Oryctolagus cuniculus: one gene and its partner. The protein of the gene in region 2 binds, or shares a complex with, the protein of the main gene of each other region. Links are inferred from orthologs where the notes say so. Each region holds a gene or a part of one and is shown on either strand. Other genes may lie near its edges. The genes, in order: NPPC and NPR3.

Region 1 (4,282 bases), on a different chromosome or scaffold from region 2:
TGGGGGGTACCCTGAGGGGGCTCAGGCCTGCACAGCTCCGTGAACTTTCCCCTGCTCAGCCGTCCTGTGTTTAAGCAGATGACAGGTGTCTGTGATGTTCCTGTGCCTGGGGCAAAGTCTTCACTCGGGTATCGGCCACACCCCATCTCAGTCATTAGCACTTTATAATCAAGACCTGGAACCAGCAGCCATGGTCATTATGGTGGTGCTGAGAGTCAAGGTCGGCCCTGAGCGGAGCCGTGGCCACAGGCTCACAGGCGGGTTCATTCAGGTGAAACAGCTGTGCGTCCTTCTCCTTTAAGCAAACACAAGGCCACGGCCTGGGACTGTCCACCAGGAACCCACAAGTACAATGTGTTGGTCTCGTACCAGGTGGGGCGGGGACGGCTAGGGATGTCAGTGTGGGTGTTCCTCTGCCCTACAGAGCTTCTTGGAGCTTGGCAACCTCCCGGGGCGAAGGTGGGGAGGAGACTTTGCACCTGGATCCCTGCTCCCCGGCATCTCTCACCGCCCACGGGGCCTGTAGCCAGTCATGCTGGAGAACACAGCACCCGTGAGATGGGCACACCAGGCACGGACCCACAGACGGACAACTGCCATTTGCTTAGATTCCAAAGCCTGACCTTGACCTCTCACCCCATCTGGTCATTGTTTAGACAGAATGCAAGAGAGCAAAGACAGCATGATGGTAGCCCCTGCGGCTGGCCCCAAGGGCTTGCATCATTTCCCTCCCTGGGCAGGGGAAGAGTTCAGTGCAGAACTGAGGAGTCGGAGCCCGGTCAAATCTGGCTGCAGAGAGGAAGGGGGCCGGTTAAAACCCGGGGCAGGTGCAAGAGGGACAGACAGCCCTGAGCTTGGGCCTGCAGATGTCTCTGGTCATTGACAACATGTTGAAGAGCCCTTGTTGGGGACACTGTGAGTCCTAGGTTGCCTTGGGCTGACATCTGGCCCTTAAGTGGCTCCTGATTTAATATGGGAGGTGAGCAGGTACAAAGGTGAAAAGGTATCCACGGAGAGGTGCTCGGGTGCACACCACCGGGCTCTTTTTTTTGGGTGGAAAGTAACTGCCCCGTGGGCTGGGTGCAGGACAGGCAGTGGCAGAGGCCCAGCTGGGGACAAGCCTTGAAAGCAGCAGGAGTTTGCTCTTAACACACCTGCATGTCAGGGTCCCAAGGGATTCCATGGCATTGGCAGGCAGCCGGATTGGAGGGAGGCAGAGAGAGAGAGGCAGTGAGGATCTTTGTGGAGGGATACTGTCACCAGGTAACACCTGGCCAGGGCTGCCCGCAGGCTTTCCAAGTTGGTGGGGAGGAGGCCACAGCAGAGACAGGGACCTGGAGCACCATCTGGGTGGAGGACAGGGTTTCGAGGGGCTCCATCTGGGACATGTCCAGTCTGAGGCTGGGGCAAGATGTAAGGTCTATTGCATTCTCTTCCTTTGCCTGCCTGAAATGGTGTCCCAAGCACCGTGGTTGGCCCCCGGAGCCTGGCGGCTGCAGCGGCATCAGGACCCTGGACAGACCAGTTCGCCCACAGCTGGGCTTAGAGAGGAGAAGCAGAATGCCCAAGAGCGCCCAGCTGGGCGAGAGGCAGGTATTTTCCCAGGTCTGTCCCCCTGCAGGGACAACAGGTCTGGCAAGCTGTCCTGGCTGCCCAGTGCCGGAGGCCACCGGCACAGCGGCACAGGCAGACTTAGCCTGGCTGGTGGGTATGTCTTTCCTCAGTCCTCCCAACACACATGGGCTCTTTTGACTCTCCCAACACTGCTAACTCACCTGCCAGTTCAGAGGTGGGCGGGACCTCACCGTGCCTGTTTCTGCTTCTCCAGGAAGCCAGGTGTGCCCATCCCGGCTGTGCGCTCCTGACCTTACCCAAGTTTCCTGACCACTGCATCCTTCCCTTTCTTCATCTGCAAACTGGGGAGCAAGTGGGGTGGCAGCAGCAAATATGCACCCCACGTGGCCATCACCTGGCTCCCTCCAAGGGCCCGGGGATGAGCGAGCCATCGCTGCGCGGCCGTGCGGGCCTGCGGTTTGGCTCTGGGGGGCTCCAGAGCAGGGCGCGCGGGGTGGGTGGTACTCACCGCCGCCAGGGGTCGCCGCACTAACATCCCAGGCCGCTCATGGAGCCGATCCGGTCCAGTTTGAGGCCAAAGCAGCCCTTGGACAAGCCCTTCTTGTTGGTCCCTTTGTATTTGCGGGCGTTGGGGTGCTCGTGCAGAAGGCGGGCCCACGCCGCCCGCGACTTGGTGTCCACACGCAGGTCCCGCAGCAGTCGCGATCGGTCGCCCTTGAGGTTGGCGCCTCCGCCCCCGGGAGCCTTGTCGCCCTTCTTCTGCCCGCCGCCTGCAGTCTGCGGCTCGGGCACCTCCTCCCCAGGCGGGTTCCGTGGAGCCTGTCCAAGAAAAGAGTGGGCAGGTGAAGGGATGCACGGTTGCAGCGCAGGGCGCCCCCGTGGGGCCCCGGGTGCTCCGGCCCGGCGCGCCCACCGGTGCGAGTCCCTGCAAAGCCCTGGGCGCGCTCCCACCGACGCCGGCCCGCCCGGCCCGCGTCCACCTGCCGCGTGCTCGCGGCCGTCCGCTCCCTCGGGGAGCGCCCGGACCTCCCTCCTGCCGGCTTGTGGGGCAGGGAGGCCGCGCGTGAACGGACGTTCTCCGAGGCTGGGGGAGCAGGCCACCGATCCCAGCTTCCGACGGCACATCTCGGGGCGCAGCCCGCCCGCTCTGCTCCCTCCAGCGCGCCTCATCGTCCCAGGCCTCTGGCCTCCCGCGCGGCTCACAGGCCCGGAGCCCCCGCGACAGCACCCACCTTCGGCGCCGCCCCCGGCTTGGCTTCGGAGGGCCGGAGCGAAAGCAGCGTGAGCAGCAGGGCGCAGGCCAGCAGCTGGGAGAGGTGCATGGTGCCGGCGGAGCCGAGGGACGCAGACGGGCAGCACCGAGGGCGCGCGAGGCCGGAGGGCGGACCGGCAGGCGAGTGCAGAGCGGGCTGGCAGGGCTGCCGGGAGAGCGCGGGTCCCAGTGCTGCGCGGCGCCGGCTGGGTGCGCTCTGAGCCCGCGGCTCCGCTCGCGCCTTTATAATCCAACCTGCAGCTGATGTCATCCTCCCGCCCACCCGGCCGCCCGGGCCAATGGCACCGCACACGCGGCCGTGCTGAGGGCCGGGAAGGGGGAGCCGCGGGGGCTTCATCCCACCCCCGAGGGATCCCGCGGCTTGGCCGGCCAGCTCCCGGCCGCACTTGGAGCTGCAAAGCAGCGCGCATGAGGGAACTCCCGTGACAGCGAGCGCGCGCCCTGGCACGCCGAGCCCCCGCGCGTCCTCACCAGGCGCTCTGCACCTGGAAGCGATCCGAACCGCTCTTTGCAGTTGCAAAGACGGGCCCAGAGCAATTAAGTCACTTGCCCAAAGTCCCATAGCCAGGAAGTTGGCGCTGCGCGAAGTCCACGCCGGTGGGTTTTGCCGCCAGACTCTTCTTCCCCCGGCACCCGGCCGGTGCGGACTGGCGTGGCGGTCCCACCTTTCACCCGCTCGCCAGGGCGGGAGCGCGGAGCGCGCTGGTGCACTCAGGTTGGGCATGCGGGGGAGGGGGCCGGACGGAGGTCCGGGCGAGAGCAGAGTTTGCGCGAGGCCGCAGGGGGGAGCGCAAGTCTTCCCTAGCAGAGAGCGTGAGCCTTTGGGCAGCCCGAGGGATGGAGCTCGTGACGGGAGCGAAGAGGGCTGCGATGCCAGTGCGAGGGCGCCGGGACCTCGGGTGCCCGCCGCCGCCGCTCTGAGGTTGGCCCTCAGCCGGGATGGGCCGCACACAGCGTGCCAGGTTCTGAGTGCAGGTGGCCGAAGTTTGCAGCTTGCGCACCTGCCTGCGCCTACACTCCCGCCAGGATCTGCAGAGCGCGGGCTGGGCTGGGGTGTCCTCTTCAGGCTTGTGCACCTGCACAGGCTGGGCAGGGATCTTCAGTGAGTGGTCACCTGTGAGCTTTTGCTCCTAGAGGTCTTGGCCGTGGCCGTTGTCCTGGCTCACCCCCTCCTCTCCTTGGGCTGGATGTCTGGTCCATCGGGCTCTGGGGAGTGAGTCTTTCTGTTATGGGTCCCGGAGGTGGTGAGCCTGGCACCCAAAAATTGATTGAGATGCTGGAATCTGTGAGCCTGCTGCTGCTGAGCAGGTGGCCAAGCCCACCCTGCCAGGGGACAGAGCACAGGCGAGCGTTTTTAGGGAGAGAAAGCTGTGGGCGTGGAAGCAGCTAGAGACAAGAAGGAGGTGCCCTCCGGCTGGACCCCAAGCTGAATGG
Region 2 (4,294 bases):
AGACAGCCTAGAGTTCGAACTCTCCAACCTTGGCCACACATCCCCACTGTCAACACCTCTTACTTCTTCGCTCCACAGGGTGCGTTCACTCGAGTCGCAGGTGGCCAAATTGGGAAGAGGGATAGCTACAGCCCCACCCTCGATGGTTTCTCTGCCCACTTCACCTGTCCTGCTTCTAGTCTCAGGTAGTGCTGTCCCCCAGAGCCGCGCCCAGGTGCCCAACCCTGCCAAGCAGTGGACAAGCGCTTTGCCTGCTCAGCTCTGCTCCTGGCACCAGGGGTCGCTGGGAGTTCTGCCAGGGCTACACCTCGGACAACCCAGGCGTGTGCGCTCCGAGAGGAAGCCGAGGTGGGATTCCATGCGCACCGCGCACCCAGCCCAGATCCCAGGAGGAGGACACTGCGCCGCAGCCCGCCCGCCAGCCCAGTCTACCCTCCAGACAAACCGGCTGCACCGGGGGCTGCCGCGATTCTGCGTCCGCCACCACTCCCTGTAGCCATGGCCACTATCCCCAGCCTTGAGCTCTCTGGACAGTTTTGCTATTATTCCAAACCTCTGGAGACCTGCGGAGAAAACTTGGTGGCAGCAAGGGCGCCAAGGGGAAAAGAGGGTCAGAGTCCACTGCTCCAGGGCGCTGTCCTGCCAAGCCTAGCCCCGGGCGCTTTGGAGACGGAGACGCCAAACGCGCCAGGGAGGTGAGGGGCCGGGACAACTGAGCGTCGCCTGAGTCCAGACATAGCAGGGCTTTTCGGTGGAAACCACAGAAGCTCGTTTATAAGGGACTGGAGGGACCATGCAGGGAATGAGAAGGGTGATACAATGAGCCTTTAAAAGAAACCTGAGGTCTGTGGAAGGCGCAGCCAGGCAAACCGGGGCACCCGACCTAGCCGAGCCGCGGCGCGCGGCTGCAAGAGCGTCCGCCGACGCCTCGGCTCTAAGAGGGGCGCACGCCAGGAGAAAAATAGGGCGACAAGTTCTGTCCTCCGTAGGCTGCAGACCCCGGACGGCGCAGAGCGCCGAGAGTGCGCCCCCACCGGCCAGCCAAAGGGGAAAGACGAAGGGAAAAAACACCCAGGTGGTTCGACAGCACCTGTCAGACCTGCGCTTGCCGGGGCGGCGGGCTCGGACGCCTCCTCCCCAAGCCCCTTACACTTCCCGGGCACCCTAAGCATACACCCCTCCGCTGCGCTGAGCGATCCGCAGAAGTCCTTGCAGCCAGAAAGCGCACGCCTGAACCCATCCCCGCGCGCTCCCTCCCCGAATCCTCGGTTCCAAAGAGGGCAATGGGGTCCGCAGAGGAGTGGACCGGTGCGTGAGGAGAGCCACGGAGAGCAGCTGGGTTAGGACCAAGGGCCCGGGACGCGCTCCCGCTCACCTCGCTCACTCGCCTGGATGTAACGCACGATGTCGTCCAGATCCAGATCTTTGGTCTCGTCGAAATTGTAGGCGGACGTGTGCAAGCCCTCCTCCTGGAAGACCTCGTGGACCCCCTCGAGGGTGAAGTAGCAGTTCCGCTCCAGCTTGTCGTCGCTGTAGACCAGCGCGGCGCGGCTCCAGTGGTGGTGGCGGAACAGGGCTAGCATCATCTCGCCCATCTTGGCGTAGGCGGGTGCCACGCGCGTGAGATGCGAGTACTCAGAGTCCTTATGCTGGAAGCCGGCGGCCAGTGCCCCGGCAGACAGCATGGGCAGGTCCCAGTGCGAAGCTAGCCGGGCCACCGGCGCCGCGGCGTACTCGCACACCGGCCCCAGGATGAGGTCGGGCTTGGCGCCCCGCGCCGCCGCCACGCGGTCCACCAGGGTGAAGAGCGCGCGGTTGCCGCAGTCCGAGTCCTCGTAGGCCACCTGGAAGCGAGTGCCGGGCGGCAGAAGCCGCCTGCCGGTGCCGTTGCCCTCCACGCTGCGCAGCGCATACTCGATGGCCGGCCGCACCCGGGCCAGCGAGAACAAGTACGAGTCGTCCCGGGGCAACAGCACCAGCACCTCGATCTTCTGCGGCGGGAGCGCCTCTCGCTCCCGGCGCCCGCCGCCGGGGCCCGCGCCCCCGCCACCGCCACCCGCGCCGCCGGCCAGCGACGCCCAGCCAAGCAGGGCGCACGCGGAGAAAGTGAGCACCAGCAGGGACGGCATCGTGCGGCCAGAAAGCGCTGGCCCTCGGCGCCGACTCGCCCTCGGCCCCCCACCCACCTCCCTCTTTCCTCCCCACTCTTCTCTCCGAGGTCCCTGCGCCCCCTTGGGCGCTCCAAGGAAACAGAATACCCCTTCCCTAACGCGCCCGAAGAGAGAGCGGAAGAGTCCTCCGCAATGTCACTAGTTTTTCGCAAAAAATAAAAAGTTCACCAAGTGTAAACCTGTGCGTCTGTAATATACACATCGACTTATTATAAATATATATATATTCGCCCTCCCTTGATACATATACTATTTTGCTTAGAGGTAGCTTCTTATTTGGGCGTTGCTAAGGTTGCTTTTTGAGGAAAAAAAAAAAGTTAGACTTGTCCAAGTGCTTGTAATTGACGGTGCATCTCCCTCGCGTTTGATCTCATTGATTCGCGCCGGTTCCTGGATGCCCAGCCGGCGTTTAAATAGCGTGGCAGCAGCGGCGCGCGTTACCACACATGGCGCGCCCGGGCCGGGCTTGTGTTTCCAGCGGGTGGGGTGGGCGCGGGTGTGGGAGGTGGAGGCTGGACCGGGGGAGCCTCTCATTAGCATTCCTACATCAGGGCTCCTCCCCGCACCCCTTCCCCGCCCGGCGCTCCCGGGTCCTGACACCCACTCCTTGCTGGCCCGCTGCCTTTTCCTTCAAGACGCAGCCACCCACGTCTGCATCCGCGGAGAGCTCCCGCAGCGCAGCGCACGCCTGCGGGCCCGGCCCGCCTCTGCCCGACCACGCTCCCTCCGGCTCCAGGGTTTATGAAAAGGAAATGTGTTTGAAAAGTAAGGCAATGTTCGCGTGCTCTCTCTCTCTCTCTCTCTCTCTCACACACACACACACACACACACACACCGCCCCCTCAAAAAACCAACAGGATGGGGGGGGGGGGGCGGACGAGGTGGCCCTAGCAATGGGTAGTTTCGGTGCAAAGATCCGGGGGTCCCGCTGGCTCTCACCTTTTCCTTGCGCCCGCCGCGGTCCCTCCTGACGCGCCAACTCCTGGCCGGCACCTGACCTCCCCGGTGCCCGGCGCAAGGACAGGGAACAAGAACCAAGGTCCCGGTGCAGACGGCTTGATTGCAAACCTGGGGTGCCGGGCCGGCCCGCGCGTCCCCCGCGCCCCCGCCGGCCCCCGGCCCCTCTCTCTGAGCCGCGCGGGTTCGCGGCGGAGTCGCAGCGGCGCCGGGGTCAAGGCGTCCCCACGCGCACAGTCCCCGCCGGTTCGCTGAGAGCCTGAAAGCGAAACTTGTTGCTCCCGAAGGTGAGAGAGAACGGTTCGGCAAAGCTTGAAACGCATCTCCCGGGCGTCCTCCGGGGCCATGTTTGCTACACCAGGTAACTGGACCAAGGGACCCCCGGAGGGTCCCGGGCTAGGGATGCGCGCTCCCCTCCAGCCCGAGCGCGCAGAGCTCCCAAAGCTTCGCCTCCTCGGTGCTCGAGGCACTGCGCTCGGGGATCTGCGGTGCCAAGAAAGCTCCTGCCTCAGAGACCCGAGTCCCCCCACCGGCCGCGGGGACGACAACAGAGCAGGCGGGCTGCGGAAGCGCTGTGGGGAGGTCCACCGCCCAGGGAAGCCGCGGCGGGGCGGGACGCAGCGGGTCTGGACCCAAGTGGCGTACGGTGGGACCCAAGAAGCGCTGGGGCCGGGGAATGCCGCCGCCGAAGGCTCACAAGTTAAAAGAAGTTGAAAATGTTTTTAAAACGGCCTTTGGCTGGCCTGGGCGTCGGTGTCGACCCTTTTCGATTCGTCTTAGACCGACGCCCTCTTTCGGCAGAAACTTGCACCCGACGCCTAACCGTGGTGCTACCGCCCCCCCCCCCCCCCCCCCCGGGCGCCGCGTTTCTTTGGCCAAGGCCCTGGAGCACGCTGGCTCTCCTCCACCGCGACAGCGAAGAGGCCATCGGAGGTGTCCGGCCATGTGGCAACTGCTGGCCTCAGCGGCCGCCGCCCTCCACCGCCTTCCCCTGTCTGGCACCGCTAGCGCTGTTAGGGGAGACGCTTTCTCCTCGGAGTCTCTCAGATTGCACATTATGCACTGTGGTCCCAAAATCTTCACAGTGGAGAAGCCGTGAGAATGTTCATTTGTTTAATTCAAGCTGCTTTTAAAAATTTTTACAAAAGACGCATCTACATAAAATC

Evidence for each region.
Region 1: the proteins of NPR3 (region 2) and NPPC are in contact, whole or in part, in a crystal structure (PDB 1JDP), measured with the Homo sapiens proteins. The link is inferred for Oryctolagus cuniculus from reciprocal best matches to the Homo sapiens genes NPR3 and NPPC. Residues at the interface, in NP_001191304.1 of Homo sapiens: Asn110, Tyr138, Ala141, Pro142, Arg145, Ala161, Gly163, Phe164, His166, Glu170, Tyr171, Tyr204, Lys208, Leu209, Arg211, Tyr214, Phe215, Leu217, Glu218, His221, Glu222, Gln225, Ile233; in NP_077720.1 of Homo sapiens: Gly109, Cys110, Phe111, Gly112, Leu113, Lys114, Leu115, Asp116, Arg117, Ile118, Gly119, Ser120, Met121, Ser122, Gly123, Leu124, Gly125, Cys126.

The regions. Positions count from the first base shown.
Region 1 is NC_091434.1:7,439,143-7,443,424, reverse strand, and holds the start of NPPC (C-type natriuretic peptide), read right to left. Parts: upstream 3,066-4,282; 5' UTR 2,898-3,065; coding exon 2,808-2,897; intron 2,395-2,807; coding exon 2,104-2,394; 3' UTR 2,084-2,103; intron 1-2,083.
Region 2 is NC_091445.1:58,794,140-58,798,433, reverse strand, and holds the start of NPR3 (atrial natriuretic peptide receptor 3), read right to left. Parts: upstream 2,958-4,294; 5' UTR 2,130-2,957; coding exon 1,376-2,129; intron 1-1,375. UniProt on the Homo sapiens protein: Receptor for the natriuretic peptide hormones, binding with similar affinities atrial natriuretic peptide NPPA/ANP, brain natriuretic peptide NPPB/BNP, and C-type natriuretic peptide NPPC/CNP.